Lonchura striata: one gene and its partners. The protein of the gene in region 2 interacts with the protein of the main gene of each other region in a pairwise test. Links are inferred from orthologs where the notes say so. Each region holds a gene or a part of one and is shown on either strand. Other genes may lie near its edges.

What was found.
Region 1: the proteins of KHDRBS2 (region 2) and hemoglobin subunit pi interact in binary tests that used the Homo sapiens proteins (3 or more experiments, as listed by UniProt). The two-hybrid records come from large-scale screens. The link is inferred for Lonchura striata from reciprocal best matches to the Homo sapiens genes KHDRBS2 and HBZ.
Region 3: the proteins of KHDRBS2 (region 2) and RNA-binding protein 3-like interact in binary tests that used the Homo sapiens proteins (3 or more experiments, as listed by UniProt). The link is inferred for Lonchura striata from reciprocal best matches to the Homo sapiens genes KHDRBS2 and RBM3.
Region 4: the proteins of KHDRBS2 (region 2) and HNRNPR interact in binary tests that used the Homo sapiens proteins (3 or more experiments, as listed by UniProt). The link is inferred for Lonchura striata from reciprocal best matches to the Homo sapiens genes KHDRBS2 and HNRNPR.

The regions. Positions count from the first base shown.
Region 1 is NC_134618.1:4,397,713-4,404,871, reverse strand, and holds hemoglobin subunit pi, read left to right. Parts: upstream 1-4,614; coding exon 4,615-4,709; intron 4,710-5,650; coding exon 5,651-5,855; intron 5,856-6,388; coding exon 6,389-6,517; 3' UTR 6,518-6,657; downstream 6,658-7,159. UniProt on the Homo sapiens protein: The zeta chain is an alpha-type chain of mammalian embryonic hemoglobin.
Region 2 is NC_134605.1:88,486,007-88,493,861, reverse strand, and holds the start of KHDRBS2 (KH domain-containing, RNA-binding, signal transduction-associated protein 2), read right to left. Parts: upstream 3,002-7,855; 5' UTR 2,933-3,001; coding exon 2,842-2,932; intron 1-2,841. UniProt on the Homo sapiens protein: RNA-binding protein that plays a role in the regulation of alternative splicing and influences mRNA splice site selection and exon inclusion. Binds both poly(A) and poly(U) homopolymers. Phosphorylation by PTK6 inhibits its RNA-binding ability.
Region 3 is NC_134638.1:985,656-992,939, forward strand, and holds the start of RNA-binding protein 3-like, read left to right. Parts: upstream 1-4,221; 5' UTR 4,222-4,288; intron 4,289-4,896; 5' UTR 4,897-4,964; coding exon 4,965-5,067; intron 5,068-7,284. UniProt on the Homo sapiens protein: Cold-inducible mRNA binding protein that enhances global protein synthesis at both physiological and mild hypothermic temperatures. Reduces the relative abundance of microRNAs, when overexpressed.
Region 4 is NC_134628.1:5,309,154-5,316,606, forward strand, and holds the start of HNRNPR (heterogeneous nuclear ribonucleoprotein R), read right to left. Parts: upstream 3,077-7,453; 5' UTR 3,008-3,076; coding exon 2,933-3,007; intron 1-2,932. UniProt on the Homo sapiens protein: Component of ribonucleosomes, which are complexes of at least 20 other different heterogeneous nuclear ribonucleoproteins (hnRNP). hnRNP play an important role in processing of precursor mRNA in the nucleus.

The DNA of each region.
Region 1 (7,159 bases), on a different chromosome or scaffold from region 2:
AGTCATTAACTCCAGAGCTTTCCTGAGAGCTGGTAACACAGACCAGCGAGGACTCATCATGTCCCCCATGCCCAGACCCCCAGCCCCTCCGTCCCCGGGTTATCATCCTCATGGAAAGGGTGGACAGGCACTGGAACTGACCAGGGCAGTGGTGGAATCACAATCCCTGGAAGTATTAAAAAAAAAATGTGGATGTGGCATTTTGGGATATGGTTTAGTGGTCAGCTTAACAGTGCTGGTTTAACCTAACACCTTAGAGTGTGTGTGTGAATAGGAATTTTTCTAAGTGAGCCATGACTCTTCTCATTACACTTTCCCTGCTCTTTTTTCCACATCAGCAACTTTCTAATAGCAACAGGGAAGAAAAGAAGAGCTCCATAAAACAGTATTAAACAAGGAGGCTCGTTGGTAATTAGAGTGGGAATGGAGATAAAGAACACTGGGTAAAGCCTGCTGCAATGCCTCTTTGGGACATTTCAAACAGTTTTTTTAAATAACATTTCTGCCTTTCTGGAGCTAAGTACACACATGCCACACACTGAGCAGAAGGCTAAATTAATTGGGAGAACAAAGGTAATTTGTTGTGGATTGGAATGAGGCATGGATGCTTTTTCCCTAGTGGGAGAGGAACTGGTGACCTCTCCTGGGTTTGCCATGGGCAAAAGATGGGATGCAGGAGCTTCATGTGCATCTCCACCCTCCCTGTGCCAGCCTGGGTGCCACTGAGGGTGAATTCACTGGTGGAGAATCCCTCTGTCTTCCCTTCCAGTCCCTCTCCATTCTTCCACCATCTGGCAGTAGATTATTTCCATCAGAGCTGCCAAATCCAGCGTGTCAATATTGCAGATGAATGATTGCAGAGGGCTTTTCCAACCTTAAGGTCTCTGTGACACCAGGGTGGCTGCAGGGGGGCAGCTGTGGAAGTCAGAGCTGTGGGCTCCCCATGCTCATGGAAAGGCTGGCTTGGGCTTGTTGCTCATGTTCACTTCACAGCTCTGCTGCACCCTGCCTCATGGTTCCTGTGCTTTTACTCCTGCCTCTGGATTAGGAAGGGTGACATTACTCCCCTGGCAGCAGTCTTGGTGCCTTCATATTTTTTTGTGTTTAATCGAGATCAGAAGTTATCAGCAATTATATTTGAGGATGCCCTGGGGTTTTCTGCAAATTCTTCTGTATTTCATTGCATTCCTTAGATGCTTGGACACTCTGAGATATCCCCACTCTGGGTTTTGCTCTGCAGTCCCTGCAGGGACACAGGACAGAGGTGGGTGGCTGAAGAGGGAGATGAGCAGCCCCAGCAGGGTGTAATCTGCAGGGCCATTCTGCACAGGGCCAGTGATAACAATTGAGCAAGAGAAGGCGATGCTGAGGGGAGAGAGTTGTCCTGGGGTGATTAAAGACCAGTCGTGTTATCACAGCAGAGCACTCCTTGTACACCAGCACTGGGCTGTCATGTTAAAATTTCAGTGTGCCAGCTTCAAAATATAATTTTACTTACTTAAATAATGAATTATAGCCCTATCTGTCATTTCCAGCTCCTGCACATTTAGTTGTAGTTAGCCTTGTCATTTAAAGCAATGATTGCAAGTTCTTCAAGCGCTGGTAGGAAATTAAAGAGTAAAGCCAGGATTTAGACTCCACTTTCCAGACTTTCAAAATGCAATATGCCTCAAATATTTCAGAGTTAGAGCAGATATATGTCCTCCCTTATTCACAGCATTCTCCTTGAGGGGAAGGCAATTCCTGTGGATAATACAGGCCCATGGGGAAAGTTGTCCTTGATCTCACAGTGATGCCATTCAATTGGATTTACAATGAGGGCTGTTGGAAATGAGAATCCCACTTTTACAATTAGCTAACAGGTCTGTTGCTTGCTTCTGCTTTAAAATGAGAAACTCTGGTAGCTGGCTTTTGGAACAGATTTTAGATTTAAAAATACCTACATCCATTAAAAAAAAAAAAATCCCCTTTGGTGATTCTCTGACAGATTCATGACATGCCCAAGGGTGGACATTCTGCAGTGGAGCTGTGGATCTTCATGAGAAGCAGCAGTAAGGGAGGAAGACAGGGTTGGGGGGCTTCTCAGAGGACATCTTCTCTACTGGTCCTGTGACACAGAAGCAGCAGCAATCAGGCTGTCCAGTTCTTTGCATTCCTGAGGCCAGGACCCCCTTGTCTCACTACCCCATGGGTAGCTGCAACACTGTAATGAGGAATTTGGCTGAAAGGTTCATGCAAAGCCGAGCCATTTTCCATGTCATGTTGTGCTGAGGATCAGACTTCTCCCACCGGATTTGTTCCTGAGGAGTTTCCACAACAATCCCCAGCACAGCTCTGATCCTGAGTGAGCAATGAGCTCCTTCTAACAAGCTACTGTCCCCTTTTGGCTGCTCTGGTTTTTGAGATAGTGCAGGAGTAACTCTCAGAAAAGGGTTTCAAATTCCATAATGATTTCAGTGATGATGAATCCTCCTGTGCAGACATCACTCTGTGCACTCACAAACCTTAATCCTGCCCAGGTTACACAGGAGAGGAAGGAGTCCTGATGGTCTGTGCCTTATCCCTGTGTTTATCTGGGTCACAGCTTGGTGGAGTAACCCCTGATTAAAAGCACTCTCACTGAGGAGAGCTTGGAGCACTGCCATGCAACACGACATGTAAGAGGCAGTACTTTGGGGAGGAGACAAAAACATTATGTAAATGGATATTTCACAACAGCATCTATATTTTGGAAGTAAATTTTCTATGGGAAAACTGCAAGTTTTGGAAATGTGTGTAGCAAGGGATGATGAATACCACCTTTCTTGGTACTGCCACCCATTTAAGTTGTATAAATTGAATACCATGTTGTCTGTGCCCTGGCTCTGCCTGTGTTGTCAGTGGTACTTTGAAATGGAGACTGCACTGCTCTGCATCAGTGTAGCCAGAGTGAGCTCTGGGTTTTCAGGGGATATGTATGGCAGTATCAAAGGGAAGGTATACAAATAGCCCTCTGATAATATTCCCTGTGGTAAAACAATTGTCCTCCTTGTGTCTCAGGTGAGTCTACTTTCATATCCCCTCTTAAAGTGAGTGAATTACCCAGCCACCCAGCCCTTGGTCAGAAGGACTGAGGAGGAGCTGTGGCACTGAACACAATCTGAAATTAAATCCCAGAGGAGTTGTTGGCCTCCACAGAGGGGATGATAATTCAAGATCCTCAAACCCAGCCAGGCCTGCATACTCAGAGGCCCAAGTGCTTTGTGCCTGCCTTTTGGGAAAGCCCAAGGTTTATTCTAGTTTGTGTGACAGATGGCATGCAGAGAAGCTTAAATTAGAGCCCAGTGCAGAGTATAAGGGGTGGCTCAGAGTCCTTCTGCAAGTGCAGGGCTGCTTGGGCAGAGAATGTTATCTGACCCCTCTGACTGTACCAGCCAGGGCTCTGTGCAAGCTGCCAGCTCTCAGTGGTGATGGCTGAGGCTGCTGAAGTTTATCAGTGTGGCAAAGAGATTTACCTCTGCTTTATCTGCTGGCAGGATAGTTACTCCCAGAGGTTCTGCAGCAACCATCTCCAGTAGGGTATTTCTTTGACACTTTGCCCATTTACCTGTGATTACAGACCTGTGCTGGTCTCCATTTTGCTTGTTTGGTCCTTCACCCACCCAGGGCCCATACGCTGATGGTACCAGCCATCTGCTGTAGGACCAGGAGCTCTTGTGCATGTTCAGCACAGCACAACACAGCCAGCACTAACAGGAGTGCTGAGAGCTATTTTACAGTGCAGGGAACAACTAACAGTAAGATCACACAGTTAGAAATCAAAGATGTGCAGTCTGAGGATTATAAATAAAGAAATCTGACTGGGGTTTCTCTCACACACACATTTTTCTAGTACCATACTCAATTTCACAAACTCTGTATTCCTGTATCCAAAGTAATCCTTACTACCAGTGCTGTCATAGGCAGCAATTGTGAGTCCCTAATTCTTTGCAAGAAGCTGGCAAAGTGAAGTCCTGAAGCAAATGGCAGAATCTGCACTTACTCTTCAAAAATCAGAATTTCATTTCTCCTCTGAACTGCACTACAGATCTCCCAGCCCGTCCCTACCACTACCTACAAACCATTTTATGTGAAATATTGCACATGGTGCAGCCACATATACTGGAAGTGGCTGGGTCAGAAAGGCTCAGAGTCTTGTGTTCACATCTGTGAACCAAGGGAGGAAATGCAGATTCCTCTCCAGGCTCCTTAGCACGCTGCAGCCCACACGCTCCTCAGCTTAGACATGTGTCCTAATGCTTCACCACTGGACTTTTGCAGCATTATCTCTCTGTTCATGTATCAATACGTGTCCAGACAATTTCTTTGGACCACACAGCTGTTAGGTTAAGAAGCAAGAAGCTGATAAGGCCAGCAGGCAAGGAGGACAGTGTGCTGACCCTTGCCAGTGTAGCCATTGCTCCTCAGGAGATAAGTGTCCCCACTCCTCAGCGGGCCTCTGGAGTGACCAATGAGTGTGGACAGGCACCAAGCTCTGCTCCCCCCTTCCCCTTTATAACCAGGGCTGCCAGGTGGTGAGTCCAAACCTGCTCTGAGCTGCCACTGCAAGGGGACAGAGCCAGCACCTCCTGCACGATGACGCTGACCCAAGCCGAGAAAGCCGCCGTGGTCACCGTCTGGGCCAAGGTGGCCACCCAGGCTGATGCCATCGGGGCAGAATCACTGGAGAGGTAAGGCCCCAGCAGGCCTCCAAAGAGGGCTTTGCTTTTGGGATGCCTCTCATGTAGAACTTGGGTGAGTGAGAGCAGGCTGGGACCAGGGAGACTTGATGAAGAGTTGTGCTGTTTGATATGTAATCTCCAGGAGTTATAGCTGTGCTACTAAATGCTTCACAATCTGGCAGTAAAGCATGCTTTTTTAAACTATTTAATAGGGTTGGTTTTTTTTCTTATAGCCATACAGAAGAATTCATAGCCAGAAGCACTGGTGAGGAATACAAAGTCATTCATACTCAGTGTCCTGAACACCATTATCCCTGTTAGGGAATAAACTTTAAGTGGTTTATGGTACAAGTGATGCACTTTCTCTTGCAGTTTTTATGCATTTAGAGAATAGCTGTCCACTAAATTCACTGGATGCTCAGGTTTCATTGTTCCAGTTGTTAAGTAACAAACTGTTAGGAAACAAGACAGCTGGACCCCCTGCATGAAGCATGGCACAGTAATTCAAAGTCCATACCAATTAAACAAGCTGGTATAAAAGGTTCTGGAAATTATCAGAAATTCTTATGTTATTCAAACTGACTTAAATGCTATTTACAGCTCAATATATAGTATTATGATCCTCCTTTCAGGATTCTGAGTACCATTAATATCAATTCTGGTTTGTTAATTTTTGTTTGAAGGTTGAGGAAACTTGGTTATAATATAATACAGGAAATTTGGTGACAAGATGGGGCTTTTATTTAGTAAAAACAAAACCAAACAAAAGCAAACCCAAGGCTACACTAAGTTTTAAATAATTTTTAACACTTAATTCTTCTCTAGTACATACAGATAAACCTGCTGTCTAATCTGCATGTGCTGCAGAAGGTTTACACTGCACTTGTTCTGAGGTTTTACCACCTCATACCATTTCTAATGCTGACCCTCTTCATCATGTCCTCCTCCAGGCTTTTCTTGAGCTACCCCCAGACAAAAACCTACTTCCCTCACTTCGACCTGAGCCAAGGCTCAGCTCAGCTCCGTGGCCATGGCTCCAAGGTCATGAGTGCCATTGGGGAAGCTGTGAAGAACATTGATGACATCCGAAGGGCTTTGGCCAAGCTCAGCGAGCTGCATGCTTACATCCTCAGGGTGGACCCCGTGAACTTCAAGGTGAGTGAGCACAGAGACTTTCAGGGGTGGAAAGTGCCATCACAAAATTAGAGACCATAGGTCTCTAATGGCACCTTGATCCCTGACTGTGCTGCACAGTCGGTTTCTCATATGATTTTCAACCTGACATTGGGTCTTTTAATGGAAGTTCTGGCCCAATGCATGCAAAGAACTCCTGTGGTTTGTGTTCGACAGACTCAAATCTCTACTGGTTTTGCTGTAATTCAAAATTAATCTGCCTCATACATCAAGCTGTATCACCTGTCTGGAACAAAGTTTTAATAAATTATAAACAGTCCCACTTTGTTGCACTTGAGGAAGGGGCACATACAAGAGGGAGTGGGATCAAGCAGTGCCTTTGGCCCTAAACAAAAGACAACTGCACTTCTTCACTCCCATCTCAGGCAGCAGCACCGCCTGGTTGGGACATGTGCTTGTCATCCCTGAGCACACTGGGCCCAAGGTTCACTGCAGACCCTTACACTGATACCTGGTACTCACTGGGATGGATTTCCTGCTGCTTTCCCTTACAGCTGCTTTCCCACTGTATCCTGTGCTCCGTGGCTGCCCACTATCCCCGTGACTTCACCCCAGAAGTTCATGCGGCGTGGGACAAGTTCCTGTCCAGTGTTTCCTCTGTTCTGACGGAGAAGTACAGATAAATGACCTCAACAGAGGGTGAGGGAGGTCCATCCACAGCCCAGCCCTGCTGCCAGGCTCTGGGACATCACCCCTCCCTGGGCAGCTCTTTAAATCCCTGCTGCAGGGCCTTGGTCATCTGCAAAACCCAATAAATAATTCAAATGTGAGCCATGGTCTCTGTGCTTTCCTCTCTATGTGTTCTGCCCACACCTGATTGTTCAGGCAGGGGTGTTCTGAAATGTCTACACAATATGGAGGGCGTTTATAAAAAGTTAAAGTTTATAAACTTTATAAACTCATGTACTAATTCATATACCAATGAACTCATACTAATTCATGTGCCAATTCAGCGGGGATAACATAACATTCAGTGAGAGCAACACAGCATTGAGCAGAAGCCCAAAATGGGCTGGAGCCCTGTGACTGCAGCTGCTCACCAAGGTATATCCACCACAGTCTGTCTCCAGGCTGACCAGGGAAGAATCTTTCACCTGCTAGGACATTGAATGGACCCAGGCTTTTTGCCTGACCTATCCAAAACCCATCCCAGCCTACTGGGAACAAAACCTGCATTGCAATGCAGGGCATTGTCCTCTCATGCCTCTCTCCATGGGGTATGGATGTGGCATCTGATGTGTTTCTTCTGTGAGTTAACCCCACTG
Region 2 (7,855 bases):
TGAGGCAAATATCATTAGCCACTCACAAGTCCTCCTAGTAGATGACTTACCAATGACTTTTCCATTTCCAATAGTGCAACAGTCATGTAGGATCTACTTCTACATGAAACGGGCTATGACCCATGGGAAATAAGTATCTTCTGATTAAGGCACTCAATTGGCCATTCAGTGTTAGAATCCACAACAGATTCCCTCAGGGATTTTTAAAGAAATCAGGTTTTGTCTCCACACTTTGTATTTAAATAGCACTAGTACCTTCTACCTTCATTAGGACCTTACCTTTCTTTCTGTTGTTTGGCATGTATGTAAATAGTCTGCCAAAGGAAATGTCCCTTTTCTGGGGATTATACCAGACCCAGGCAAGGACTAAAATAAGTGATTTCTAGTCATCACTTAATGGTGAGGGATAAATAGCTACTGATTGAAGTATGCATCTGAAACAGGTCAACCTGAAGGACACAGACCCACATATTGAAAACATAAGAAATATGTTGGTGTAAATATTGGTTAAGTACACCAAAACACACAAACAAAGAAAGACCACGCAACAGATTCAAACAAACAAAAGAAATTATTGGGGGAAAATGGGTAGTCTTATCTTTACAAGTAAATCCACTCTTGCAAATGAGAAGCATTTTTCTGGAATACTTATTGCTTGTGTGCCCTTCTGCGGTTTCTCACAGGAACACAACTGTTCTCAACCTTGGGTTTTAGCAGCCAATATGAAACAACACAGCACTTTCAAGTCAGACTGAATGCTTGAGGCTCTGAGCTCCAAAGCAAATCTACACTTATGTATTTGATACAAAGTGTGCTGGCAATCAAAAATGCTTAGGACACCATAAAAAGAACACCTGGCTGGTATCGTTAGGGATGTAGCTGATTGCACGTTACATTCTAAAGAACAGAAATCCAGAGTCTGGAAAAAATATTTCATCGTTAATATAACCTAGAAATTACTCACTACTACAGAGATCCTTGCACCAGGATCCCATTTTCTTCTGGCACTCAAAAAAGAAAATTCTGCCCTTTCTATTTATGCCCAGCAGCAACCAGTGCATTAATTTTAATTTTCTTAAGTAGTAACATTCTTACTATGGTTAAGTGTTTTAACAGTCGTCATATGTTCGACTCTAAAACAAATGTCTAGAAAGCTTGACAGATGGTGTTTTGAAGGATAATGCCAGGTACCTGGTGTGAATCTGACATTAGCATTCTCTCAGACAACTCACCTTCATCTTTTAAAAAATCCAGTGAAATAATGCATAGTCCTACTTAGGCCAAGAAGGAATGAGAAAATCGTTCATTTATTCAATCTCACAGTTGCTCAAAATGCAACTTCTACATGAACTTGATACCTAGAAAAAACAATTTTCCTTTTACTTTTATTTGCCTACTTTCGGTTTTGTCCTTCCTGCATTTTCCTCCTTTCCCAGACACTCACACACACACTCTCAGAGGATACTTCCCCCCTCTGGGAAAAGACCGAACTGCAAGGTTCAAAAAATACATTCCTCTAAGAAATAAGGACTTAGTTTATGGTATGATTATAAGAAAAACAACTATAAAAAGTAGCATGGCTGCCTCTTTAGCAGCAAGACAGCTATGACAAAACGGTACTAAATGGGTCTGTATTCATACTGAAATTCAGTATGAATTTTAAAGCTATCAAACAGAAGCACTCCAACAAAACCTGGACTCAGTATCTTCATTCACAATCAATAAAACATACATTAAGGAAAGACAATATAAAAACTGCTGACAGAGGAAAAACACTTACTGCTTAGCATGGTAAATCTGAATTAGTTATGATTTTCTTTAGGTCATAAACAGAACTTGGGAAATTATTTGCCACCTCTGAGTTTATTTGAATGTGTGACTCTCAGGGGCCTGACCATATATTTCTTTGCTTTAATCTCTTTTAAAAACTTAATAGGTTGTCTTGATTTATGCATCATTCTTTACTACTTCTTTTCAACATTAGGTTCCAAGTTTAACAGGGATTTTATAAAGACTATTAAATATCTAAGAAGAAAAACATGTATAAGAGGAACTTAAAGGATTACACTTTTGGCAAAAGTTAAAATTCCATACCACGAGGTCTTCACGCAACCGCTATACTGAGCAATTATTACAAGAGAGACTAAATGATAAACTTTTTAAAGAACCTTTAGGCGAGGTCCAACTAAAACTCTACTCCAACTAAAGCAAGGAAAGGAGGGCGAGCTACAATGAGTATCCAAATGTTATAACCAGTGTATTCTGATCTCCGCACAAAACCAAGAGGAAATCATCATGTCCTGGATGAAACTGTCATGAAATTGATAAGCCATATCAAATCAATGTCTGACATCGCGCAGTCGACTAAAAACAGCGCCGCATTAACGGCATGATAGTATCACCATATAAACCTTATTACTTCAGCGTGGAAAACAGGATATAACGAATGCAATGAGACGCCAGCATCTGTCTTTGTGTAAGTGAGCCCGGGAACCAGGGGAGCGCCTCCCGCACAGGCGACCCAGCCGCGGCAGCGCCGGCGCACGGCGGGGAGCGAGCGCGGGCGGCGGGGAGCGAGCGCGGGCGGCGGGCAGCGGGGCGCTCGCTGCGGCCGCCGGCGGCTGCTGCCGGACGGGTCCCTCGGCAAGGCTCCGGGGCGGCCCCGGGCGCCCGAGCCCCGAACCGCCGCCGCCCCGACCCCACGCGCGACCGGGTCCCGCCGCGGGCCGCTCCGCCGCCCACCGGCCCGGACACCCGAGTTCGCTCCCTGTCAGTCGGCCGGGGCCGCCAAGCCCACCCCGAGGAGCGCCCCGGCCGGGGGAGCGCGGCGCGGAGCCTCACCGTCTTCCAGGAGGCGCATCGCGTGAACAAAGCAGGGATCCAGGCTGTCCTTCTCGGCCATCAGCTCGGGCAGGTACTTGTCCTGCTCCATCGCCGCGGGCACGCCGGGCGGGCTGCGCGGGATGCCGGGCTCGCCGCTCCGCGCCCTCGGCCGCCCGCTCGCCGCTGGCCGCGCCGGGGCCGCCCCGCGGGTGCCGCCGCCCCTCGCGCGGCGGGCGCTGCCCCGGCCCCGCCTCCGCCTTCCCCTCGCGCCGCGCGGGGGCGGGCACGTGCGCGGGTCGCCGCGCGCCGCTGCTCGCGCGCCTTCGCCCCCCCGCCTCCTCCTCCCGCCACTGAGCGACCCGCGGCCACCCGCGGCCTTAAGTAGGGAGGCGGAGCCAGCCGGGCCCCGCCCCCGCCGCTCCCATTGGCGGCTCCGCCGCGCCGGGGGCAGACTCGCCGTGCCATTGGCTGTCGCCAGGCGGGGCCCGCGGCCGGCGGGCGTCCGCGGAGGTGTGTGCGCCTGCGTGTGTCTGTGTCTGTGTTGTGGTTTAGGACTGGTATTACCTAATTTACCGCTTCCACTAAAACCACGCTGCAGCTCGCTCTCCCCACCCTTTCCCCATTCCCCGTGGCAGGCTAGAGAGGAGGATTGGAGGAATTGAAGGTAAAGATCACGGGTTGGAATAAGAACAATTTACTGGAAACAGCAATGAGATAAGAAAATGAGCAGTAACAGCAATTATATTAAAAACAAAAGTGTTCGAGAGAGATAAGTGATTCTCATGCAAAATGATTAGAATCGAGGTTACCTCGCCGCACCCACCCCGCGCTTACTGAACCAGAAGGAACCCCTTTTTTAAGGAAGAGACTTCTTTCCCCCCTAAGTCCAGCACCGGCAATGACCTGAGGTGATAGCGGAACAGCCTCTGGGTCCTGGCCATGTCCCCTCCCGGCTACGGCCAAAATTAACTCTGTCCAGGCAGGAACCAGGACAGTCTGTGCGTCTGTCACTGTGTGTGTGCTGTGTCTGTCTGTGTGTCTGTCTGCGTGCAGCTGTGTGTGCCAGTTTCTGCGTGCCAGCGCGAGTGCGTGTCCGTGAGTGGCGTCCGTGGTGCCGGTGCGCGCACGCGTGACCGTGTGCGGCTGTGCCGGTGCTGCGCCTGTGGGAGAGCGGGCACGTGTCCGTGTTTGTGTGTGAAACTGTGTGTGTTTGTGTGAAACTCCGTGTGTGCGTGAAACTGTGTGTGTGTGTGGGCGTGCACTTGTGTGAAGCTGTGCGCGCGTGTATGAAACCGTGTGTGCGTGCGTGAAATTGCGTGTGTGTGTGTGTGTGTGAAACTGTGCGCGCCTGTGTGAGACTGTGTGTGAGAGAGAGCGGGCTGCGCGGGAGAGGCCGTGCTGCGGTGCTTTCTGTGAGCCTGGCGGTGGTGTCTGTGCCCCTGTGCTCGTTTGTCCACGCGTGTCTCAGCGTGCCTGTGCCGCCGGTGTCGCTGCGTGGGCCGCCCTGCCCGTGCACGCCGGTGATGTGCTGGCAGTGGCCGTGTCCCTGCGCGGGGCCGCGGCTCCGTGCCCGCCGTGAGCCGCCCGCCCGCCCGCCGGGCGCTGTCCGCGGTGCTGGAGCCGGGAGGCAGCGGCTCTGCCCGGCTCTCTCTCCCTTCCCTCCCCGGCGGTGCCTCCCCCGAGCTCCGCCGCGCTCCCCGGGCTTCTCGGCCCTCCGCGGTCCGGGGACACGCCTCGCTAAAGCGGTGCCGCATCGGCGGCGTGGCCGTGCTGGAGCTGCCAGGCAGCTTCTCCCCTGAGGGTATGATGAGCATCAGCGGCCGGGCGCCGCCGCTCACAGACCGCGCCGAAAATGTCTGCCCGTGCCTGCTGTGCGCAGCTGGAGAGGCGCAGCCGGGGCCCGGGGGTCCTGTGGAAAGGGCGATCTCTGTCGAGGAATGCCGTGCTGCAGCTCCCACGGCCACGCCTGACAGAATTAGAACTATTATGCAATTAAAGTGTCTACAGCTTGGGTAAATAAAATTTATTTTAATTAGGGTTTAGCTTTAAGTATACATTTACTTTAGGTTATATTTATTCAGGATTTTGCCCCAACAGACCATACAGGAATGTGTTTTGATTTCGAAAGTAAACAAATATGTCTAAGTCATCTCAACTCATTAAAATTCCATTTGTGGGACCTCAAGAACAAGCAGTCTATGGCACCATACAACATTTTGTGCTCAACCCCTATGTCACATTCTTAGTATGTACCACTAATACTACTATCTTAGTATTTATTCTAATGAAATAGACAGTTGTTGCAATAATACATTTGTGAATGGCCTAGTACTGTTCAAGTATTTTTGTTGCTGTAGAGGAATTTAGATTTTGGGGTCTTTTTCTTTGTGGTTTTGTTTTGGTTGGGGGGAGTTGGCAGAGGAAGAAGGAATGAAAAAGATAAAAATCAAAGTAAAATCTTTATAATGGCATCCACAAGGTTTTGAATGTGTTGTACAGACATTATATAAAGATTTGATGTGCGATGTTTTCAAAATTCTAAGATATGTGCAGGCAACGTTTACGCAATTTCCACTCGGCATGCAAATAATTGAGGGACAGCACGTGTTTACAAAAATATGTAGAGAATGTCGGTGACCGATGCCTTATTATTCTGTAGTATTTCTAGAAGGGAGGAATAAAATACCTGAGAACAAATCTCCTTGCTGAGAAAGAATAGGAGCAGGAAAATAGTTGGTTTCAGCAAACTTATAAAACACTGAGGAAGCAGAGAAGACTGATAGCAGAATTGAAAGGTTTAATAGTCAATCAGCTTTTACTACAAATTTTGTGTGGGGATAAAGGGAAGACATAAGTCCTTCTTTAAAAAACAAACAAATAAAACAAAGAAAAGCGCAGAACTCAGATAGTTTATTAATAATTTACCCTGATTCAATTTACTGCATGAATAGTTCTCCTTTCCCATTTAACAGCGTAGGAAGAAATAGTGGTGTTTGCAACACAGCTCAGGTCTGTCTTGCTCAAAAGCTTGCCTGTGTCATCAGATTGTATTTCTGCACTTCTGTTTTCCAGAACAATTCAGGCAGGTGCTCCACAGTTCAGAAAGACAGCAGGCCAATGATAGGTGTGTTCTCCTAAAGCAACTTCAAGTTGAATGTAAGCCATCCCCCCAGAAGTAATCCTGGTCTGGTAGCTTTCAAGACATACCATATGGGCATGTATACGGAAAATGAATTTTGGGTGTTTTCCATCTGGGGTGTTATAGGAATAATGCTACTTTAGTCTGTTTAATTGTACTTAACCTACTTAGATCACAGGAAGCTTTGACTTACACACCTTTAAATTTTTTAAACAATAGGAAGTGCTAAATTCATTAAACTCTTTTTTTTCTGGTCAAAGAGGTAGACAGCAGGTTTCATTACACATATTTTTACAGCAAACTAGACAGAAACAAGTTCTGTGTAAGTTCATTTGTGAAAACTTATAAAGTTAAATTGACTTTCAGTGATACTTAGGCTGCAAAGCCACTGAGATACCTTTCTGAATTTCACCTTATACCTCATTAAAAATAAAAAAAGGCATTAAAATCTGTCAGACAGGAAATATAGACTTCTAATGACATCAAACATGACTTCATTGCTAGTTGGAGATCAATTTTTTTCACAGCGCTACTAAAAACCAAAGACACATTTTACAACTCTTTAGTTTGAAGTGTCAAGACAAATTGAAGTTTATCTGTACTATATTTTTTAATGCTAAGTCTGATAATGAAATGGATCGCAGCATAACAGATTGCAGTTTATTCAAAGACAGAACAGGTAAAAATCAGTATGTATTCTTGCCAGTGCCATCCAAATACATTGTATTATCATGTAGAACTGAAGTCAAAAGGCAGTGGATCCAAGCAATTGAAGAAAAACCCCAAACCTTGCATTTGCTTATTCAAAAATTATTAAATCTTTTAAGAATTTGCAGTAGAATGAATGGTCAGTGTGAGCTCAATTAGAATGAGCTGCCCTTCTGACACCTCGCAATAAAGTTGATACAATAATTTAAATGAATAGTTAACTATGTGTGTGGGAGTAGACAGAGGACCACATACATCAAAAAAATCAGAATAGTCAAGAGTTTTGTATTTCAGAAATTCAATTTGCTTTGAAATTTCTTTACTGGTTCATTTGCTTTAGCTATGAGTAAGGGTTATCTGGTTCCTGAACCAAATGCTGATGAGCATTAAAAAAGAAAAAAAATAGGGACTTTCTTCTATAATCTAAGTAACCATCTCCGTCTCTGAAAGTAGAATTATAATAGACAATATATCTAACAAAGAGGCAGCAGTGCATGTGCAAAAAAAGAAGGAATTGCCCCCACATTCTTTACTATAGTTTATTTAATTCCTTCTTTGAATACAGTCTATACCCAGGCTCCATCTGATCTCTTCATGCTGTCTTATGGATACCAGTTCTTGTACCTGGTGATTTCATGGTTTGATCATGGGACAACTGAACATGCACAAAAGTTGTTTCCTTGTAACAGCACTCAGATGATGTACTGAGTGCTGATGCACTGGCTTTGGGCAATGGTGGGTCCAGGTGGAAGTGGCTACACCTTCTCCTTGTAGAGGCCAGCCTTGTAGACTACCACACGGCCAACAGCTTGCTGGATAATCCAGAAGGCAAATGTGCATCAGCAGATCATTTTCAGACTATCCCAGGCACAGCAGAAGACTCAGCCATATATGGTCCAACACAGACATAGTTGATATCTGCGGTAAGTCACTGATTTCCACAGGGTTTTGGTCTCTTCACTCGTACAGCTTCTTAAATTGACACATTCTTTACAGATTAGTTATTAGTCTATAAAAATCAAATAAATCAGCTTCCCTTAAAAAAATATATCATTACTTACTTATTTCCTTTCAAGACATTAAATAGTTTCATAAACTCAGTGAACCTAAAACCCTAGAAGAGTTCAGTGTGAGTTCCAGGTATAAAAGAAATTCTGTCTTATGCTATGACTGGGTTTATGACAC
Region 3 (7,284 bases), on a different chromosome or scaffold from region 2:
CAAAAATCCCTGAGCCCCAAAAATCCTGAGCCCCAAAATCCCTGAGCCCGGAAATCCCAAATCCCAAAATCTGAACCCCAAAATCCCTGAGCCCCGAAATCCCAAATCCCAAAATCTGAACCCCAAAATCCCTGAGCCCCGAAATCCCAAAATCTGAACCCCAAAAACCCTGAGCCCCGAAATCCCAAATCCCAAAATCCAAACCCCAAAAACCCCTGAACCTCAAAAATCCTGAGCCCCAAAATCCCTGAGCCTCAGAATGCAAACCCCAAAATCCGAACCCTAAAATCTCTGAGCCCCAAAAATCCTGAGCCCCAAGATCCCTGAGCCCCAAAATCCCAAATCCCAAAATCCTCTGAACCCCAAAAACCCCTGAATCCCAAAAAAACCCATAAAACCCAAATCCATATGTTGAACCCTGAGGTTTTTTAGTGTGGTGATTTTAGGGTCTTTTGGGGGTGATTTTGGGTTTTTTGGGGTTTTTTTGGATGTGGATTTGGTGATTTTTCTGGGTGATTTGGGGGGTTTTTTGGGGTGATTCTGGGGGATTTTTCTGGGTGATTTTGGGGGTTTTTGGGGGAGTTTTTTTGGGTGATTTTGGGGTTTTTTTGGGGGTGATTTTGGGGTTTTTTTGAGGTGCTTTTGGGCTATTTTGGAGGTGGTTTTGGTGTGGTTCTTTTGGGTGATTTTTCTGTTTTTTTCTGGGGCGATTTTTGGGTTTTTTTGAGGTGGTTTTGGTGATTTTTCAGTGTGATTTTGGGGTTTTTTTGAGGTGGTTTTGGTGATTTTTCTGTGTGATTTTGGGTTTTTTTTGGGGTGGTTTTGGGGTTTTTTGAGGTGATTTTGTGGTTTTTTTGGGGTTTTTTTGGAGGGTTTCCTGACCCCTTTTTTCCCTGCAGGTTCTTCCGCCTTCCGGGTGCTCGACACCGAGTTCTGACGTTGAGCAGGTGAGGCCCCCCCCCAAAATTTGGGATCAGCCCCCAAAATTTGGGATCAACTCCCAAAATCCGGGATCACCTCCCCCTAAAATTCGTGATTAGCCCCCCAAAATTGGGAGGATGACCCCCAAAACCCCAAAAATGAGCTGACGCCCCAAAAATCCCAAAATTAAAAGGATAAAAACCCGGGAGAACCCCCTGGAATTGGGATCCCCCAAACCCGGGGAACCCCCCCCTGAAATTCGGGGTTCGGACCCCCCCAAAATTCATGGGAGGGACCCCAAAAAAAGGGAGGGATAAATTTTGGGGTGGAGTTGGGGGATTTGATCATTTTGGGGTCCCCTTTTAACTCTTTCCTCTCCCCACAGCCCCGGGATCGCAGCTGCACCCCAGGACCCCAAAATCCGGCCTGGGGTCACCCCAAAATCCTCCGAACCTTTGGGGACACCCCAAAAACTGCGGGGGGGGAGGGGAGGTGTGTGGGGGGGGTCCTTGGACTGGTGACCCCCCCCCCAAAAAATCCCCCCCTGAGGAATTGCTGCTGGATTTTGGGGGGTTCACGCGGGACCCCCGTTCTGGGGGGGGTTGGGGTCTCCCCATTTTGGGGTCTCCCCATTTTTGGGGTCCCCTCCCATTTTGGGGTCCCCCCATTTTTGGGGTCTCCCCATTTCTGGGGTTTCCCCATTTTGGGGTCTCCCCATTTTTGGGGTTTCCCCATTTTGGGGTCTCCCCATTTTTGGGGTCTCCCCATTTTTGGGGTTTCCCCATTTTGGGTCTCCCCATTTTTGGGGTTTCCCCATTTTTGGGTCTCCCCATTATTGGGGTCTCCCCATTTTGGGGTCTCCCCATTTTTGGGGTCTCCCCATTTTTGGGGTCCCCCCCCATTTTTTTGGGGGGTTCCCCCCCCTCCGGGTTTACGTCGAGTTTTATTTTTTCAAGGCAATATTGTAAAGCAGAGTCTATATTGGGGGGGTGGGCGAGGGGAGCTTACTCGGAGGTTACTCCTGCTTTACTCCCGCCGTGCTCGGGGCTGCGGCGTCTCCCGGGAGCTTCCTCGGCCAGGCCGGGCCCGGTTTACTCCGGGGTTACTCCGACTTTCCTCCGAGGCGGCTCCGGCCCAGCCCTGCCCTACTCCAGCCTTACTCCGCGGCTGCTCGGCCTCTCCTCGCTCTCGGCTACTCCCGACTTACTCCCGGTTCTTCCTCGGAGCCTCCTCAGCTTTTACACCGAGGCTGCTCAGGACTCGCTTCCTGCCCGGGCTTTACTCCGGGGTTACTCACAGTCAGCGCGGGCTCCGCAGCTCCTCAGTCCCTGCTCACAGCTTACTCCAGACGTACTCCGGGCTTCGGCGGCTCCGTACTCCAGCCGTGCTCACTCCCCCTTCCTCCGGCTCTACTCACTCCTTACTCACACCCACCTCCAGGTGCTTCGATCCTCCTGGCCTTTGCTCGGCGCTTACTACGCCCCTGCTCGGAGCTTACTCAGAGCTTACTCAGCCTTGACTTGGAGTTTACTCAGCCTTGACTTGGAGTTTACTCAGAGCTTACTCAGCCCCGGCTCTCCTCCGGTGTCCCACCGCTCTCGGCCTGCCCCGCCGTACTTGCAGGTTGCTCCGGCCGTACTCGCAGGTTGCTCCGGCCGTACTCGCAGGTTCCTCGCGCTCGCCCCGTGGTGGCCTTACCCTGCTCGACGCTTACTCCGAGGTTGCTCCGGCCTTCCCGGGCCCCACGCCCCGTGGGTGGGGCCTCCGCCGCCTTCGCTGCTCCAGCTTTACTCAGCCGCTACTCAGCCCCTCCTCGTGCTACTCAGAGGCTGCTCAGTCGCTGCTCCCGCGTTACTCGGCCTCCGCTCTCTGTTCTCCTCCGAGGATGCTCCACGGATACTCCGCCGATACTCGCCCTCACACTCGGCTCCTACTCCGAGGTTACTCAGCCCTGCCCAGGATCTTGGCGTTACTCAAGGGTCGCTGCGCCGCCGCTACTCAGAGGTTCCTCAGGCCCTGCTCGGGGTCACGGCCGGGAGGGGAGCGCTCCGTACTCAGGAGTTACTCACTGCGGACTCCGGGCTCGGCGCGGCACTCTGAGGTTACTCATGACTTACTCCGACACCACCCGGCCCCACGGCGGGGCGGACGCTGCTCCAGAGTTACTCACGCTCTGCTCCAGGGTGGTTTCACTCCAGAGTTACTCACGTTTTACTCCAAGTGGGTGTTCTACTCTGCGGTTCCTCACAGTTTGCTCTGCGGTTCCTCACGGTTTGCTCGGGGGTTCCTCATGGTTTACTCGGTGTTTCCTCACAGTTTACTCTGGGGTTCCTCACAGTTTACTCTGCGGTTCCTCACAGTTTGCTCTGCGGTTCCTCACGGTTTGCTCGGGGGTTCCTCACGGTTTACTTGGTGGTACCTCACAGTTTACTCGGGGGTTCCTCACGGTTTACTTTGCGGCTCCTCACAGTTTACTCGGGGGTTCCTCACGGTTTGCTTGGGGGTTTCTCACAGTTTACTCTGCGGCTCCTCACAGTTTACTCGGGGGTTCCTCACGGTTTACTCTGGGGTTCCTCACGGTTTACTCGGGGGTTACTCCCAGCCCGCCCCCGATGGACGCCTCTCCCCGCTCTGGCTCCTCCGGGCGGGGTTTTACTCCGGGGTCACGCCCCCCTTACTCTGCTTTTACTCCGAGGTTCCTCCCCCTCCCCCCCTCACTCAGGGCCGCCCCTCCCCCGCCCGAGGGGGCGTGGCCTCGCTCAGTGGGGGCGTGGCTTCTCTTCGGGGGGCGTGGTCTCTCTGGCCACGCCCACCTCGGGGCGCGGGCGTTGTAAGCCACGCCCCCTCTTGTGACGTCATGGGAAAGGGGCGGGGCCGCGGCGTTTCGGCTGTAACGGGACCGAACCATTAAAGGCTCCCCCGGGGACGTGAGCGAGTGCGAGCCCCGCGGCACCGGCACCCCAAAACTGGCCCGGGACCCTCCCCGGGACCCCAAAATATCCCCGGGACCCCAAAACTGGCCCGGGACCCCAAAATATCCCCGGGACCCTCCCCGGGACCCCAAAACTGTCCCGGGACCCCAAAACTGTCCCGGGACCCTCCCGGGACCCCAGAATATCCCTGGACATCCCCGGGACCCCTCCCCCGAAAACCCCCAACTATCCCGGGACCCCCCGCGCGCGTTCCCCCCCCCCTCCCCCGCCTCAATGGTCTCTTCCACGCGCCACAGGGGGCGCGGCCCGAGCGGGCAGCCAATGGCGTGGCGGCGCGGGCGGTCACGTGGGGGGCGGAGCCGGTTAAAAGCGGCGGGGCGGGGCGCGCTCGGCCTCAGTCCGGGCCCGTCCGGCGCCGCTCGGGGGAGGCTCGGGTGAGGCTCGGGGGAGGCTCGGGGGAGGCTCGGGTGAGGCTCGGGGGAGGCTCGGGGGAGGCTCGGGGGAGGCTCGGGGGAGGCTCGGGTGAGGGTCGGGTGAGGCTCGGGTGAGGCTCGGGTGAGGCTCGGGGGAGGCTCGGGTGAGGCTCGGGTGAGGCTCGGGTGAGGCTCGGCCGCTCCTGTCGCGACTCCCCGCGCCGCTCTCGCGGCTCCTGTCGCCATGAGGGCGGCGCTCGCTGCTGCCCCCGGGGCTCTCCCCCGCTCTCCTCCCCTCCCCCTCCCCTCCCCTTCCCCTTCTCCTTTTCCCGCCTCGCCGCCCTCAGGCCCGCGCGGGGTTCTGCGCATGCGCGCGGGGGCGGCGGGAGCGGCGCTGCCGGGGGCGCGCGCACGTGGCCGGGCTGGGGGAGGGGGGGGAAAAGGGAACCACGTGAGCCGTGACGTCACGGGTGGGCGCCGCGTGACGTCAGCGGGCAGCTGGTGACGTCACGGGGTTGGGGTCTCCCAAGATTGGGGGGTGTGACGTCACTGGAGGGCGCGTGGGTGATGTCACGGGGGGCGTGACGTCACCGGGCGGGGTGGTGACGTCACGGCCGCGCCGCGGGCAGGTCATTGCGTCACCGCAGGGGGCCGGGCCCCGCCCTATGACGTCACGGCCAGCCCCGCCCCCCCACGCATGGCGGCGGAGGAGGGGAAGTTGTTCGTGGGGGGCCTCAACTACGACACGGACGAGCAGGGCCTGGAGCAGCACTTCAGCTCCTTCGGGCCCATCTCCGAGGGTGAGCCATCCCATAATATCCTGAAAACATTCCCAAAGTATCCGAAATGTACCCCAAAATATCCCAAATGTACCCAAAATATCCCAAACGTGCCCCAAAATATCCCAAATGTACCCAAAATATTCCAAATGTACCCAAAGTATCCCAAATGTACCCAAAATATCCCAAAATACCCCAAATGTACCCAAAATATCCCAAATGTACCCAAAGTATCCCAAATGTACCCCAAAATATCCCAAACGTGCCCCAAAGTATCCCAAATGTACCCAAAATATCCTTAAAATATCCCAAACATATCCCAAAATATCCTTAAAATATCCCGAACATATCCCAAAATATTCTAAAATATCCCAAATGTACCCCGAAATATCCCAAATATACCCAAAATATCCCAAAGGTACCCCGAAATATCCCAAAGTCTCCCAAATCTATCCTAAAATATCCCAAAATATCCCAAACATGGCCCAATGTATCCCAAAATATTCCAAAAATATCCCAAAAGTGCCCCAAAATATCCTAAATGTGCCCCAAAATATCCCAAATGTACTCTGGAATATCCCAAATGTACCTTAAAATATCCCAAAATCTCCCAAATCTATCCCAAAATATCCCAAAATCTCCCAAATCTATTCTAAAATACCCCAAAATATCCCAAATATGGCCCAATGTATCCCAAAATATTCCAAAAATATCCCAAAAGTGCCCCAAAATATTCTAAATGTGCCCCAAAATATCCCAAATGTACTCTGGAATATCCCAAATGTACCTTAAAATATCCCAAATTTATCCCAAAATATCCCAAATGTACCCTAAAATATCCCAAATGTACTCTGGAATATCCCAAATGTACCTTAAAATATCCCAAATTTATCCCAAAATATCCCAAAATCTCCCAAATCTATTCTAAAATATCCCAAAATATCCCAAACATGGCCCAATGTATCCCAAAATATTCCAAAATATCCCAAATGCATCCCAAAATATCCCCTGGGCTCATCCCCGAGGGTGAGAACCAAAAATACACCAAAATCACCCCAAAAATATCTGAAAAATATCCCAAAATATCCTAAAACATCCCAGATGTGCCCCAAAATATCCCAAAAATATCCCCCCAAATATCCTTAAAATATCCCAAAATATCCCAAGAATATCCCTCCAAATATCCTTATAATATTCCAAACATATCCCAAAAATATCCCAGATGTGCCCCAAAATATCCCAAAAATATCCCCCAAAATATCCTTAAAATATCCCAAAATATCCCAAAAATATCCCAAAAATATCCTAAATGTGCTCCAAAATATCCCAAAAATATCCCAAACGTACCCTAAAATATCCCAAAAAAATACCCCGAAATATCCCAAAAATATCCAGAAATGTCCCCAAAATATTCCCAAAAATGAACTAAAATACCTCAAAAATACCCCGATAAATCCCAAAGTATCCAAAAATTGCCCTGAAATACCCCAAAACCACCCGGAATTTTTGGGGATATTTTGGGGATTTCTGGGGTTTCCTTTGGGAGTTTTTTAGGGGTTTTTTTTGGGATGTTTTGGGGCAGTTTTTGGGACATTCTGGAGATATTTTTGGGCTGTTTTAGGGTGTTCTGGGGATACTTTTGGGGCTGTTTTTGGGCTGGTTTTGGGGATATTTTTGGGGATATTTTTGGGGATATTTTTGGGGATATTTTTGGGGATATTTTTGGGCTGTTTTAGGTTGTTCTGGGGATATTTTTGGGGCTGTTTTTGGGGATATTTTTGGGGATATTTTTGGGGCTGTTTGGGGTCCTTTGGGGATATTTTTGGGGTGTTTTTGGGTTATTTTTGGGGTCCTTCGGGGATATTTTTGGGGATGTTTTTGGGGCTGTTTGGGGTGTTTTGGGGCTGTTTTGGGGTGCTTTGGGGATACTTTTGGGGCTGTTTTTGGGGTGTTCTGGGGCTGTTTTTGGGGTGCTTTGGGGATACTTTTGGGGCTGTTTTTGGGGCTGTTTGGGGTGTTTTGGGGCTGTTTTGGGGATATTTTGGGGATATTTTTGGGGCTGTTTTTGGGGTGCTTTGGGGATTCTTTTGGGGATATTTTTGGGGCTATTTGGGGTGTTTTCGGGCTATTTTTGGGGTGCTTTGGGGATACTTTTGGGGCTGTTTTTGGGGTGTTTTGGGGATTCTTTTGGGGATATTTTTGGGGCTGTTTTGGGGGTGTTCTGGGGCTGTTTTTGGG
Region 4 (7,453 bases), on a different chromosome or scaffold from region 2:
CATTGGGGACAATTTTACATAGGCAAGGAGATTTCTCACTCCTGCCCAAGATGTTGCCTACCCTCACACCTCCTAACTGCACACCGGGAGAGGTCTTGTTTCAAGTTTCACACTGCTGTTGCAAACAATGCTTTGCTGAAAACTGTAAATACTTCATGATAAAAAGCATGGTTTTAGCTGTTCACTATCTTTCATCCAAAATTCCTGCATCTTGAGAGTAATTTACAAAATTACTAGCCCCCTTTTTAAGCTCTCATATGACAAGTAGGAAGTTAAAACTACAGGCGATTCCAGTGTTTCATAACTTATATGGCTCAATTAGTTATTTTTCTGGAAAACAAAAAAATTAACAGAGGTGTGGTCCTCAAGGTTTATGGCATCTTGAAAAGAGATACCTGATCACAGCCTTAATCTGACAATCACTGGATAAACAGCCATGATGTTACTATTTCCTTTATCTTATACCATGCCTCTAACAGAGGTTGCCACCTACAGACTATCTAAGTATAACTCCATCCAATTAATTATAAATTCAGTCTAGTTAACTCAAAACATGCTTAGGAGCAGCTTAATTGAGAAGGAACAGAAAATTTCTGGCAAGAGGACAATATCTAAAATGACCACAACAAACTTCAGTGATTACACATCAATACTGGTTTTGCTGCTGAAAGCTTAGTTTCATGCAGGAATGGGACTTGCTTAGCTCAGGTGCACAGGAAGCCAACCAATGCATCCATAAAAACTCTGCACCAAAGTCATTCCACTCACTTATGTTGCTACTCCGAATCAATACACTATCTGTGTTAAGCAGTTAAGTTAAATCATGTTAAAAATAACACTGAAGGAAGTTTGAGGAACATTTGTTTGGTTTTGTTGTTTTAATTGACCACAAGGGAACAAATGCAGTCCCTATAGTTATGCCTCACACATCAAGAAGGTTCTTGTCAAGCAAGGAAGATAAATATACAAGTGGGGGGAAAATAAGAATTCACATTTAAAATCTGAACTGGGGTTTTATTAAAACCTCACTTGTTCAGAAATATTTCTGTACACAAAGGCATGTACAAAAGGGTGGGCCCTTTATTTTGTACATAAAGGCATTTTAGCCATTTCTTTTATACCATATCTTATTCAAACACAGAAAGCACATTTTTAATAACTTAATTATGATATGCTAGGTGTTTTTTGGCATGAATTACATGAAACCTTATTTTGAAGTAAACACAGCCTGAAGACCTTCACAGAATAGCCAGGATTTCTCACTACCTGTAAGCCAAAATGCAGCTGGCACCCTCACCTCTCCAGCTCAGCCTTGCTCACTCCACAGCCCCTTGGAAAAATCTGACAACCTCCAGTACAATGCCAAGCAAGGGACCAGCACAGCCCAGAGAGAAACAAACTCTGCTTCCAGTACCCACACAACTATGACTGGGAGATGACTTTAGCACAGCAAGTTAGCAACGCGCCCATCAGTGCCATTAAAAAACACTGACTGCACCAATAGCTCCTCTGTTTTGCTAATCTAAACCGTCTGCCCATGCTCATTTCTCACTGGAGTTGGCTATTCATAGCTCATCTGGTTGTCCGAGTTGTACTAAACAACACTCTCAGTACTCCAGTTCCAAGCAACACTTCAAAAGAAATGAGCTTTGTTCTAAAGAATTTATCCTTAAAGAATTTTGCAGATGTCTAACAAAGCAGGGAATACTGGGATTTTTGACTCAACCAGGAACTTAAGTGCCAGCAGGCGACTCGAGTATTATTTCAACAGTGTTCACTTAGAAAAACTGAGAAATAAGGACATGCAATGCTTGTGGGAAACACAATTTCAAGGAAGCAAAATTTTCAAGCAGACACTGCTCGTTTGCAAACACTACATTTTACACAGGTTACAAAAACACCTAACACTGTGAGATGCAAAATTCATTAGATTACTTTTACAAGTAAAAAACAAAAAACTATGCTAAAGTGTAGTCTCAAAGTGAAAAAACCCAACCAATCAAAAAACCGAAGCACCAGCTTCATGAGCATTAATGTCCTTTGCAGCACGAAGTGCCGGTGAGATCCTTCAGAGCCATAAACATGGGAAAGGGAAGCCAACACACTGTTTCAAAAAGAGTAGTCCAGCACAGCTTATGTACTTAAGTAGCATGTTCAAATACTGACAGGTAACAAGGCTGTTCAGACCGAGTAAATAAAGTCTTATTTTTAAAGTATTTGCAACAATGATGCATTTAAACAAAACTTTTCAAGATTTAGTAAAGGCTTTCGACAAAAGTTAATTCAAGAAAAACAACGTCTGAACAACAAAACTTTGGCTAGTTTCCCCTTTAAGCACTTGACAAGCGTTATTCCCTCCGTGGAAGTAGGAAGCGCAGAGCCGAGCGCTGCGGGTGGGCGCAGCTGTCCCTGCCGGCTCCAGCACATCATGCGCTACCCAAGATCTAAGGGCGCGCTGCGACAGCGACGCGTTCGCTGCTGAGAGCGTTCCTCTGCGCCCGCGGACAGAGCGGACCGCGCACAACCGCAACAGCCGGGGCTGCTGCGGCTTTAAGAGCCCGGAGGGACCGAGCAGGGACCCGACCCGACCCACAGCCCCGGGAGAGGCGCGTCCCGGCCGCCCGTCACATGCAACCCTGATCCGCACGGCTGGGCGGAGCGGGCCGGCCGCCCCCCACCCCCACCCGCCGGGCCCGCCCCCGGCCCCTCCCCGGCGCCGCTCCCGCGCCCGCGCCCGCCCGCTTTGCCCGTGGAGCAGCCCCGCCATGGCCCCCGCCCCCCTTCGCTCCGCCGCGCCAGCTCCCCGGGCCCGTCCCCGCCCGCGCCGGGCCTGCCCGCAACCCGCGCCGCCCGTCCCCTCGCGGGGCCCACGCAGGAGCGCTCGGCGCGGCCGCGGAGCGCCCCTGCCCCGCGGGGCGGCCCCGGCACTCACCGGAGCGGGGCCGGCGCGGCGCAGCTCGGGCCCAAGCAGCGACGGCAAATGGCGCGCGCTCCTCCTTCTCCTCATGGACGGCGGCGCGACCCCGGCAGCACGCGGGGTTTCCCGGAACTGTTTCCAGGGACCGCTGCTTCGCCCACTCAGAAACCCGCGCTGCGGACGGGCAGCCGGCAGAGCCAATGAGATGCGAGAGGCGGGACGCGCCATTCCTCCGGGCGGCCAATGAGAGGGAGGCGCCGTAACCAATCGCGGGGCGCCTTCCACCCGGCGCGCCGGTAGGGCCGGACTGGGGGCATTTAAAGGGGCAGCGCCTCCCGCGGCCCGAACAAAGGGAGCGCGCGGGGCCGCTGCGCTCGGCTCCGCCCCGCGCGCAGGGCGGGACCGGGGCTGAGGGGGCGACACCGGGGCTGCCCCGGCGCTGCTCCCCGCGGTGCGCCCCGCGGTGCGCCCGGGACCCGGGGCTGCTCCCCGCGGTGCGCCCGGGACCCCGGGGCTGCTCCCCGCGGTGCGCCCGGGGCTGCGGCTGCCCCTGTTCCCCGCGGCGCGCCCGGGACCCCGGCGCGGCCCTGTCCGCCCCTGCGGCCTCTCGCTCTCTCCGAGCCTTTGCCTTGTGTGAGCCCCCGGACCGGGGCTGGCCGCGATGCCCTCCAGGCCCGAGGCGAGGAGGAGAAGCCATGCGGCTGCGGGAGCTACGGGTCAGGCTTATCTCAGGACACAGCTCTACAGCTGCTAATCTGTAATTAACCGGAGATTAAGTCTTACTTGCCTGCTCACCAGATTTTCTTGATCAGGCTCTTGATGAGTGCCGGCTGGACACAATAAAGAGATAAGTGAGGAAGACATCAGCCTGTTGGCACCGATGGTGTTGGGCCGGCTTCACGTGCTTGTCATGCTGTTGCATAACGTGGAAGTCAATGTGTGCTGGGTTGGGTCAGGCTGAGTCCCAGAGTGCTGTGTGAAACTAAACCCAGAGCACCTGCACGTGTTCCTACGGTCATGTCAACTGTGCGGCTGGAATCTGTGCAAACCACAGTCGCATCTGGTGCAGATGCAACTGTGCCTCTGGAATCTAACAAAAGTAACAGCTCATGTATTCTCAGAGAAGGATCTTCAGTACTTTCACCCCAAAATTACTTTCCTAAAGATGGCATGTGTCTGTGTGGTGACTATCGTATGTGTGATGTCCCACCACTGGTGATGTGGGACTTGTGGAAATGTGGTATGTTATGTCCAATGTTTCCAAGTCAGAAGCTGGAGACAGATTCTGGAGGTGTTCAGTCTGTCTTGCTGAACCTGTCTGGTGACAGACATGCTGCTTCTCTTGTAGAATTGGCAGTGCCTCAGTGACTTCCCTCTTGAGATCTGGCAGTAGAGCCAGCTTTTCAGTGCTGGGTATTGGGTCTACTGTGGTGTAGAGATGGAAAGAGGGGTAATCATTCATTGCCTTGTCCATCCCAGTTCACTGCAGTGTTTTTTTCTGGTAGTTAAGAATGATGGGTTAAAGGAGTTCTCACAATACAAATATTGAGAGGAATTGAGGGAACTTAACATTATTAGGGGTGCTTAAAAATGTCCTGTAAAGCTCTTAAATATTTTATAATATAGTAACTAGGAATGAATAATGAAGTATAATGACATATGTCCTGTCAGCTGGCAACTGAACATGATGAGGCTAATAAGCAAAATGTATCTTGAGAATAATTTCCGGAATATCTCTAGCAACTCCCACCCTAGGTTATGTGTGCTTTGCACTGCTTTGTTCTTTGGTCTCATGTTACACACTACAGCCTCAGCCCAAAATGATCTGACACCTCTAGCCAGGAAGAAGCTATAGCCTGCAGGTATTTGGGTTAGTGCCAGACGGCAAGCAATGCCTGAGAGGAGGCCCTAGATGCTCTGAGATGATGTAATTTAAATTTTGGATAGATTTCTCAATTTTAATCTTTGCTAGAAAATCCCAGAATGCGACTAGTTACAGCTCTCTGTGATGGGAGCTGAACAGGTACATGCAAGATCTGATTTAGTCCTGGGCCAAGACAAAATAAATTTGTTTTGGAACCAAGGAGAGGATTAATCTCAGCTGCTGAGAGCTGGGAGGGGAGGATGCCCTGACCATGCAGAGGGAGAGCCTGCCTGGCAAGGAGGCTGCCCTGCTCTGCTCCTTCAGCACCCCTTTGGGGACAGAGCAAAGTGAAGGGATCCAGCTTTTCCACTTACAACTTGTTGGCATTTTCCTGTGTTCAGTGGCCAGAGGTTGCTGAAGCTCAGCGTGTTCCCATCAGTCTGTCGCTTCCCTTCCACACTGGGCTGAAATTCCTGGGTGTTCCACATCAATGGCAAGATGACAGAGTTGAATCTGATGTAATTTGTAGGTGAGCTGTTAACTTATAGATGGAATATTACATTTCCTGATGCTCTAGACTTCTTACCCTGACCAATCATTAGTGTGCAGCATATAATGGATGATATATTACAGATGTGCCCACCTCCAGTAAATACCTTGTTCTCTGGAGCTCTCAGAGAACAGCTCCTACATGTTTGCTAAATCCCAGGCTTTCAGGGGGAGGTCTGTCTTAAAAATCTTCAAGCTTTATTTATCAGTAAGAAACTTTCTGAGCGCCCTCAGTGTGTTCCACGACCTCTACAACAGGGAAATGCTCAGAAAAATTTCTGCCTGCAGAGGCCATGCTACTGTTATTACCCTGTGCACATATGTTTATTTTGCCTCACACAGGCAGTGTAGTTGATTTTTAGGAAAACACACACATGTGCTTTGTCTTTGTCTTGCCTCTTTCCCTTTATCTGCTCTGGAGTGGGAAGGTTGAGTGTGACAAAAAGGCCCAAAGAGACCAGACTGGGCTACCTGGGTGCCTTGCATTAAAACCAGCTTGCTAAAGATCTTGGATCTCACGTTCCTTTCTTTTCATTTTTTTCCCCCACCCCTGAGCCAAGGATTATTTGCAATTTCCATCACATTTGTGTAGGATGCAGCAGAAACCAAGCAACTTGGGAAATAGCTTCTGTTTGCTGCAGCAAAAATCACCAGCTCAGTTTTAGCTGAAAATAAATTGCACTTTTCTTTCTCCTGCAGTAGCTAAGTAGTGCTGGGCTGTGATCTTTTGAAGCACAGTACAGACAGAGGATCTGGTGTTAAGGATAAGCATCTGCTCCAAGAAGTGAAACTCTTCATGGAGCTGCACTGTAGGTGGCTATGGGAAGTCAGGGTGTTGTGAATAGGGTCAATCCAACCCTGAAGAACTAGCAAATAATCAAGATGCACCAGTTCTGGCAGAGAAGAGAGAAGAATCCCTTCCTTTGTGTACCCCTGTGCCTGGGGGACAAAGCAGGGGACTAGTCATGCCATCAGCCATTCCAGAGCAATTGAGGAAACCCAGAACAATTAGTCCCTCTGTGGCCTGTGATGTGAGTTCAGCACTATCCTTGCAGCCTTACCTGTTTCAAACATCAGCTTTGGGTTTTGGTTGCTCTGAACCAGAATTAGATGGCAGATGTTTGTTGCTTTCCAAAAGAAAACTAAGCCCTGTCTTCCAGCTTGCACAGACTGAGGGGGAATCCTGGAAAGGTCTCTTGACAACTTGTGCCTTTTTAACTCCCCAGCAACCACCCAGTCTGAGGTATAATCTTATTTTACTCCCCGGCATTCCTGCTCTGGAATCCTGCAGCAAACAGTCTGTAGCTGGCATCTCTCCATCCACAGGCCCTGGAAGTGGTGAGTGAACCCAAACTGCTTGCTGCAAGTCATTTAAATGTTCATGTCATTTGCTGGTGGGCAAGAAAGCTCTGTGGTGTAGCAAGGTACTGACTTGCACACTGCAGCCCTGAGGGAATTCAGCAGTGGTACAAAGGTCCAAATCTCTGCATTCCCAGTCTCATAGCAAATCCTCCCCCTTACAGGTGCTTGGGCAGAGGCTCTGTGGCTGAGTTTACATGGCATAGTTAGTACACCAAAATGCAGAATAAAACCCAGAGATGTGAATTTAAACCCTCATCTGTTCCTTTCTGAATACAGAGTTGGCCTAATATTTATGTCAGCTCTCCACAGTTCACTGAAGCTGTTAGTGCCAAACTTCTCACTAGTGACTCTGCAACTTTTGGGGAAGCCAACCCTGGAAAAACATTCTGAAAAAGGCAAAAAAATGGATTTTTAAATAGTTATAACCCAAACCCAATAGTATATTGCTTTTCATGACTCAGTTCATCTCACCAGGTTCAGAGAGGTGGGGAGGGTGCTTGTAATTTGTTAATTAGCCCCAAATAAAAGGAACAAAGCCCACAGGAAGCTCTGCACACAGCCTTGGCAGAACTCACCACACCACAGACTGAGCATGGCCAGGCAAGGACACTCCATAGCCTCTCTTCCAGGGCTCATCACATGGGTGACATATTCATTGAAGAAGAGGGTTTAAGGACATTAGAGTGACAGTGGTGTCACTCACTCTGCAGATAAATGTGCCACTACCTGCAATATTCACCAGGTGAGGGCAGCCCCAAGGG